2 linked regions of the Coturnix japonica genome follow. The main gene of each other region encodes a partner of the protein of the gene in region 2 in a complex. Links are inferred from orthologs where the notes say so. Each region holds a gene or a part of one and is shown on either strand. Other genes may lie near its edges.

Evidence for each region.
Region 1: the proteins of RAB9A (region 2) and SGSM1 are in contact, whole or in part, in a crystal structure (PDB 4QXA), measured with the Mus musculus proteins. The link is inferred for Coturnix japonica from reciprocal best matches to the Homo sapiens genes RAB9A and SGSM1. Residues at the interface, in NP_062747.1 of Mus musculus: Phe37, Thr39, Ile40, Gly41, Val42, Glu43, Phe44, Leu45, Trp61, Arg68, Phe69, Leu72, Phe76; in NP_766306.2 of Mus musculus: Leu256, Leu257, Tyr258, Gly259, Lys260, Asn261, Asn262, Tyr277, Asn294, Met297, Asn298, Gln361.

Annotation. Positions count from the first base shown.
Region 1 is NC_029530.1:6,046,482-6,050,054, reverse strand, and holds part of SGSM1 (small G protein signaling modulator 1), read right to left. Parts: intron 3,552-3,573; coding exon 3,455-3,551; intron 3,112-3,454; coding exon 2,944-3,111; intron 2,478-2,943; coding exon 2,389-2,477; 3' UTR 1-2,388. UniProt on the Homo sapiens protein: Interacts with numerous Rab family members, functioning as Rab effector for some, and as GTPase activator for others. Promotes GTP hydrolysis by RAB34 and RAB36.
Region 2 is NC_029516.1:110,820,547-110,824,085, forward strand, and holds the end of RAB9A (ras-related protein Rab-9A), read right to left. Parts: intron 2,670-3,539; 5' UTR 2,636-2,669; coding exon 2,030-2,635; 3' UTR 519-2,029; downstream 1-518. UniProt on the Homo sapiens protein: The small GTPases Rab are key regulators of intracellular membrane trafficking, from the formation of transport vesicles to their fusion with membranes.

The DNA of each region.
Region 1 (3,573 bases), on a different chromosome or scaffold from region 2:
ACTATCCAGCTGCTCTGCAACTCAAACAGAGCTCAGGTCTGCATTGTACACTCACATTAACCCATGGCAGGCATGGCCCTGCACAGCTCTACCCACATGGGCTGAACCAGAGCTTCCCCCCCACACTCCCTTTTTCCTTCTTACCCACAGTTTGAAAATCAGAGCTAAACTCAAGCCAAGAGGACACAGCGCCTCTGCAAACAGCACAGGGATGGGGGTGCAGCATGGGACAGCTGCAAGGAGACCACGCAGCTCTTAGAATCAACACTTCTCCCTTCTCAAAAAATAACCCACTTAGTTCATATATTTTCTCTCTATACCATATATATATATATTATATTATATTATATATAGACACTATTCTCTGGTAAACATTTACAAGATATGTTGGCAACATTGCAAAGATACATCTCCATTTGCATCACAACACACACACTCACGCACTTCAGTGCACACAGACACACGGGAATGTGCAATCAATAAATACTTTTCTTCCCCAAAAAAGTGACTTAAAAAAAAAAAAGAAAACCAAAACCAACCCCACACATTGCTATCAAAGACACCCCGTTCACACAGACAGCAAACATTGTGCGGAATTTCTTGGCTGTTTTCTGTTTGAAAACCAAGAATAGAGGAAAATCAGAAGCATGAAGGATAAAGTGTCAGCGATGCTGCTTGTCAGGACTGTGTTTAGTTACATACTGGCTCCCGTCCTTTGGAAGGGATGGGGTAGAGCAGCCCCCTTCCCCTTTGGAAGTGGCCATGCAGGTAGATGCTGATCTATCCCAAGACCCAGAGAGAAGTGGAACAATCTGGGAGGGGGTACAAGCATCTCGCTCTGCTCTATGCAAAAGTGAGAGATTGCCTGCCTGTCCTTCTGCAAGCAACATCTACCACATGCCATAAGTCATTACGGAGCACAGTCGGCACGGACAGGCATTCCAAAGAAGAAGGGAAGCAGCAGCAGAAGGGCCCCATTGCACAGAGGGGCGGAGGGCAGAACGCACACACATCACATGGAGGGGAACACATATTTCTGCAGCAAAACTCGAGAGAAACTCCCTTACAGAGAGCTCCAACCCAGCACCTCCCTGCATTCCTACAGCCCTCTGTGGCCATGGCAAAGCTCCCCCTGGCTGAGCCAGACCTGCCCATCACCAACACCCCTCCTTTTCCTCTTTATTTTTTTTAAACCTGAGTTGAGAAATGAATCCAAACCCACACCACAACCATTGCACCGCACACTCAGCCCCACGCTGGCAGTGCTGCAGAGGCACTTCACGCATGAGATGCTGGAGAGCCACTGCAATGCATCTGCTAAAAGCAAAGACCACTCGGAGATGCTGGGTGAAAAGCAGCCCACCACAACCTAACTGGAGACCTTCAATGGACTCAGGGGGCTTTCTGAGCAGCCCCATAAGCACACAGAAACCTGCAGGCACCAGAGGGATCGTTTGCACTGTTCAGCTGCAAGCAGCCACTCTTTCAGCTAATAGAGGAACAGACAGGCACCTTCAGAGGGGAACATCAGGACAGCCACTAGGTCAGGAGCTCCCACTTGCCTTCCAAGGAGCCCTCCCTTAAATTGGGTTGCAGAAGGACGAGCAGGAGAGCAGACCCCTAACACAAGCAGCTAGAATAAGGCAGGTACGAAGAAAACCTGGTGTCTGGAGCTGCCAGACAAGGCCAGGAGCAGGTCTTGGTGTTCAGAGGCATTTACAGAGGCTGAATTTTGAAAGAGAAACCCAATGCTGAATTTGGAGCTCTTCCAAAACTCCATCTGCAGACAAAACTCTTGTGTGCTCGGATACCGTAGTAACAAACAATGTAAAAATCCAAGGGAGAGAACGGAGCCCTAAAAATACTAAAGGGGATGCTATGCGTCAAGGGACGAGATCAAAAGATGAGGAATCTCTGTGATCCAAGTCCCTCTCTGCTACTGGCAGAACCTCAGATGTCAGTAAGAAACTGAGGGCTGGCAGCATCCCTGGTTGGGTTTGGCAGCCCTGCTCTCCCAGACCCCCCCCAACATTGACCTGGGATGCTGGCAACTGCTTCTGCAGTTGGGGTGATAACCATGTGCTGCTCCTTCATTGCAGCAGGGTTAGGAAGCGGCTGCCCTACCTCCAAAGCAAGTCTTTAGCAATGCAACACAATTGTACAGATCTTTGGTTAAGTCATTAGAGAATGCTGTGCAGATCTGAGCCGGAGCCCCCGGACCTAACACTGAGCACAGCACTTGCAGAGCTATGGGTAGTGCCAGTTCAGACTGCAGCGTGTGTCCAACTACCTCACTTCCACAGGTGTGGAATGGTGAGAAAAAGGGAGAGGAAGCATTGGAGGGGAGTCCCAGCTCTCTGTCCGGATGCCTCGTCTTCCCCAGGTCTTTCACTTGTTTTCGATCAGAGTCTGCACTTTGTACACAAGGTCTCGAGCCAGCTTCAAGATCTGCTTGGTGTTGTGCCGCTCAGCCATTTCTGGAACACAGACAAAAGGAACTCACATAGAGGCTACACCCGAGATGCCCAGAGATTTAAGGAGCTCCTCCAGGTCCTCTTCTGCCCCTCAGCCAAGCTCTGGGAGCAGCTGAAGTGAATTCACAGCCAAGTCCCCAGGCACCACCCCTTGTGGACTCCTGACTCTGAAGGGTCATCGTTAAGGAGCTCACCTTGCAGGAAGCACAACCTATTGCTCACAGCTGCCATCAAGCACAGACAAGGCAGGCTGTGGCCAAGGATTGCTCCCCAGGCATCTTCTGAACCCCTCAGAAGCAAGGGACCCCTTTACCATCACATTCCAAATATCAGCATCACACAACATACCCTCTGCTCTTTTTCAGTATTTACCAGAGCAGTCAGGACACGACTGTCTACAGCCATCCAGAAGTGCTGCCTACCTCTGAGCAGCTGCCACAAATTGAGCCCAACAGAACCCAAACCGTACCATTGAAAAACTTGATGATGTCTGTAAAATCCATGTTGTTCTCCAAAATGATATCCCGGTACATTTCCACCAAAGCCAGGGCAATGAAGAGCACATAGTGTGCAGAGGAAACGCGTGCAGCTGCCCAGATGGTCTCCCAAACAGCAAAAACATCGTCATACACCAGCTCTGTTAGGAGAAGGAAAGCCCAGCAGTCACACATCAGGCTTCCATCAGCCTGACTCACAGCAGCATTCACTGGGGCAGAATGTGGTTTCTTCCCCCAACAACCTGTTCCAAAGAACAAGTCAGTCATCTGCACAGACACACATTCTGGCCTGCAGCAGGTGGTACAGACTGCAGGACATAAACCTGCTGGAGGCTCGCCAGCAGCTCTGGAGCAACAGGTTCTGATCTAGACAGAAAAGTCAGCCATAATTCTTAGTAGGGAGAAGCCAAACAGTAACACATGGCAAACCCTGCTCTCAACCCCCCCTTCACTGGTCCCAGCTGTCCCTCTCCCTGCACAAACCTCTCTTGAAGTCCAGGAGAAACCATCGGTAGCAGAAGTAGAAATGGGTGTAATCACCATTCTGGTGCATCAGCTCAAAGAGCTCAGAGTCCAGAATCTGTCAAGAAAAGCCAAAGGAA
Region 2 (3,539 bases):
AATTCTCATAAGGAGGCTGGATAATCATAGCACTACATAGAAATGGTAGGAAAAACAGGAGAAGACAGAAATAGGCTGTTAAGCACAAGAAAAGCTACTACACCTGGTCCTCATCCTTATTTCCTTTTAGAGATTTTATTATGAAAGTCTTATTTGTAGTACTCAAGTGGTAACTTATCTACTATTTTGTTTCAATCTCACTTCTGCAAAAGTTAATGTTCAAGGAAACTAAGGTTCAATCTAACCTACCTTCTTTCTTTCCTCACATCTTACCTTCGCTCACTATTAATCTAAATATCACACAGAAGCAGGTCAGCTTGTATTTAGCTGCTTAGTGACTGAAACTCATAACTGTTGCTGTACGTACAGGACACTAAGAACAAAGTAGGCTTTGAATGCAGAACCTGTAAAAATATCACCTTGCAGCAGGAACAGCAGATCTGTGGAGTAAACACGAACAGGTTCAAACAAGCATAAAAAAAAAAACATGAAGAAAAGCACATAAGAGCAACAAGAAGTTTGTTTTGCAAGCTTTACTTCTAAATAACATCTGGTACAAAGCAAACACGTTAAGAGAAGACTCTTGCTGTTACTGTACTATCAAGAAAAGCTCTATTACAACAAAAAGGTTGCAGTACAGAAAGCAGAGTCTGCATAATTTAGTGAAAAACACGGCCCGTCCTGTAGGCCTTTGATTTCCTTCTGAGGTCTACAATGTGTACACTAACAGGCATGCTTGTAGTCAGGTTACACATTGAAGCAATAGTGCATTATCAAGTTTGCTATTGAAAGGATATTGAGTACTCTGAGAGTCAGCTTTCAAGAGCTTCTCATACAAGTATTCTACCATGGGACAGCAGTGGAGAGCTTCAAATACACATCCTGGGGCTTCATCTGCAACACTACAGAAAGATTATCCATTAAACATGGAACTTGTTTCTGTTCGCTGTCAGTTAATGAGTACAGTAATACCAAGGTTTAAGTCTCTACCCTACGACGGCGTATTAAATAAGCATCAAATTTGGCTCAAACGTTATAGGTATCTATTCGTACTAGAGTGGAAAGCTGTCGCTACCTGCTAAGTCAAGAGCTTCCTGAGTTCCCTATGTATTGCAAATCCTTAGTTTCACAGTACAGAGATCACAAACACATTCATAGCTCAGGTGAACAGGAACAATAAGGTCAGAACTTTAAGGCTGTATCCTAAAAGCTTTCTTGAAGAGATCCACATTATGGCAAATTTCCAAGAGTTACTAAAGCTGATGGAATAAAGTACATATAACCATTCTTAGTTATGAAAAATACTTGGTTTATCCAGATTTTTTCTTTACTCTATTAATCAGAAACGTGCCAGAATGGGACATAAGGAGGAGATGTATTAAAAAAAAATAAATCACATTTTGCACTGAACTGCTGGAAAAATTCATGTGGCATTAGAATAGTAAACGAAAGGAAGATGGACATTAAATACGTAGGAAACTCATTTCCTACTTAAAAACATACACAAATTATAACTACAGGAAACTTGAAGGAATTTATGTTAACTTGTAGTAAATGCATTAGAGATGAAGTACCACTCACATCAAAAGGAATGCGGTGAAATTAAAGTTTAATATCTCTCATGGTTAAGAAACTGAGTTCTAGTGAAACAAAATGGAATGCTAATTTCATAAAAATATATATACATATAAAAGCTTCTTTGTATCTCAATTCCAGAACAGTTTCACCAAAGTAGTGCTTCTAGAACTTCAAGTTTTAATTATATTCAAAGTATTTATCATTTAGAGTTGGCAAACTACATTCTTAGGTTAACATTTTTACTTTACACCTTCCTAGATAGGAAGCGTCACTAATTCAATAACGGGTCACTCATGAATGAAAATCTGTTTTGCTCCCCCAGGAAAGCAGCAGAATATTACAACTTCAGTAGTAGAGTAAAACCCATTTGTTATTTTATCTACATCTTTCCCATCCTCTTCAGAGTAAGCTAGTTGGAAGTAATTTGGCAAGAAAGAAAAAGAAAGTTAAGTCAACAACAAGATGAACTAGGCTTCGGTTTCCGATGGAGGTTTACTGTATCTGTTTGAATAAAATGATCCGATCTATCTTCAGAGGCTAGAACTCTTCTAACAGCTTCTTCAAAGGCTGCTGCAACGTTAATGGCGTCTTTTGCACTGGTTTCAAAATAGGGGTGATTACCATTATTCCTGCACCAGTCTTGGGCTTCCTCTGTAGACACTTGCCTCTCATTTATATCGACTTTGTTACCCAGTATCACAAATGGAAAGTTTTCAGGCTCCTTGACGTCTGCGTAATAAATGAATTCTTTCTTCCAGTTGCTTAGGTTTTGGAAGCTTTGAGAGTCATCCACACTGAAGGTAAGCAGGCAACAGTCAGAACCTCTGTAGAAAGGAGTCCTCAGGCTCCTAAAACGTTCCTGACCTGCTGTGTCCCAGATCTGCAGAGTGACAAAGTGTCCGTCCACTTCCAGTTCTTTGTTTAAGAATTCCACACCTATTGTATGAAAAAGCTGTGCATCAAACTTGTTGGTGACATATCTATTCATAAGGGAACTCTTCCCAACTCCACCATCTCCTAGCAGTATTACTTTAAGGAGTGACGATTTTGTTGCCATTGTTAAGGAAACAGATCCTCCTTGTTTCCTAGACCTGCAAAGGTTAAGAAAACTGTTAAAAAGGGAAATAGTGAGCAGAAAGTTTTGTACTTATCTAGGAATCACAGAATTGTAGGGGTTGGAAGGGACCTCTAGAGATCATTGAGTCCAACCCCCCTGCCAAAGCAGGCTCCCTACACCACGTCACACAGGTAGGCGTCCAGGCGGGTCTTGAATATCAGAGAAGGAGACTCCACCACCTCCCTGGGCAGCCTGTTCCAGTGCTCCGTCACCCTCACTGTAAAGAAGTTCTGCACATTCGTGCAGAACTTCCTATGCTCCAGTTTCATTCCATTACCCCTAGTCCTGTCCCCACACACTACTGAAAAGAGTCCAGCCTCACCACTATGGACCCCACACCTCACGTATTTATAAACCTGGATCAAGTCCCCTCTCAGCCTTCTTTTCTCAAGGCTAAGCAGACCCAGTTCCCTAAGTCTCTCTTCATAGGGGAGATGCTCCAGGCCCTTCACCATCTTTGTGGCCCTCCACTGGACTCTTTCCAAGAGATCCCTGTCTTTTTTGTACTGGGGGAGCCCAGGAAGCATTAGAAGTCCACCAACATCAAGCTTAATGCACAAGGACAGGATGGCTGTGTGATACAGACAATGCAAAGATACTCATAATAACAACATACACTCAAGAATACAATGTGTTTAACTGTCACCTCTTCCACAGACTGCAGCATGACTTTTGCAACTGATTCACAGTGAGTTCTGTGGTCTACAAAATGAATTAAGACCAAATTACAGCATTTGTGCAGACCTGTGACTAGCTTTCATCACAGCATTCATACACTAACATTCATTATTTCTCTCCTTATAAAGCAGCGGCATTAAATGGAATACTCCTACTACAGCTGCTT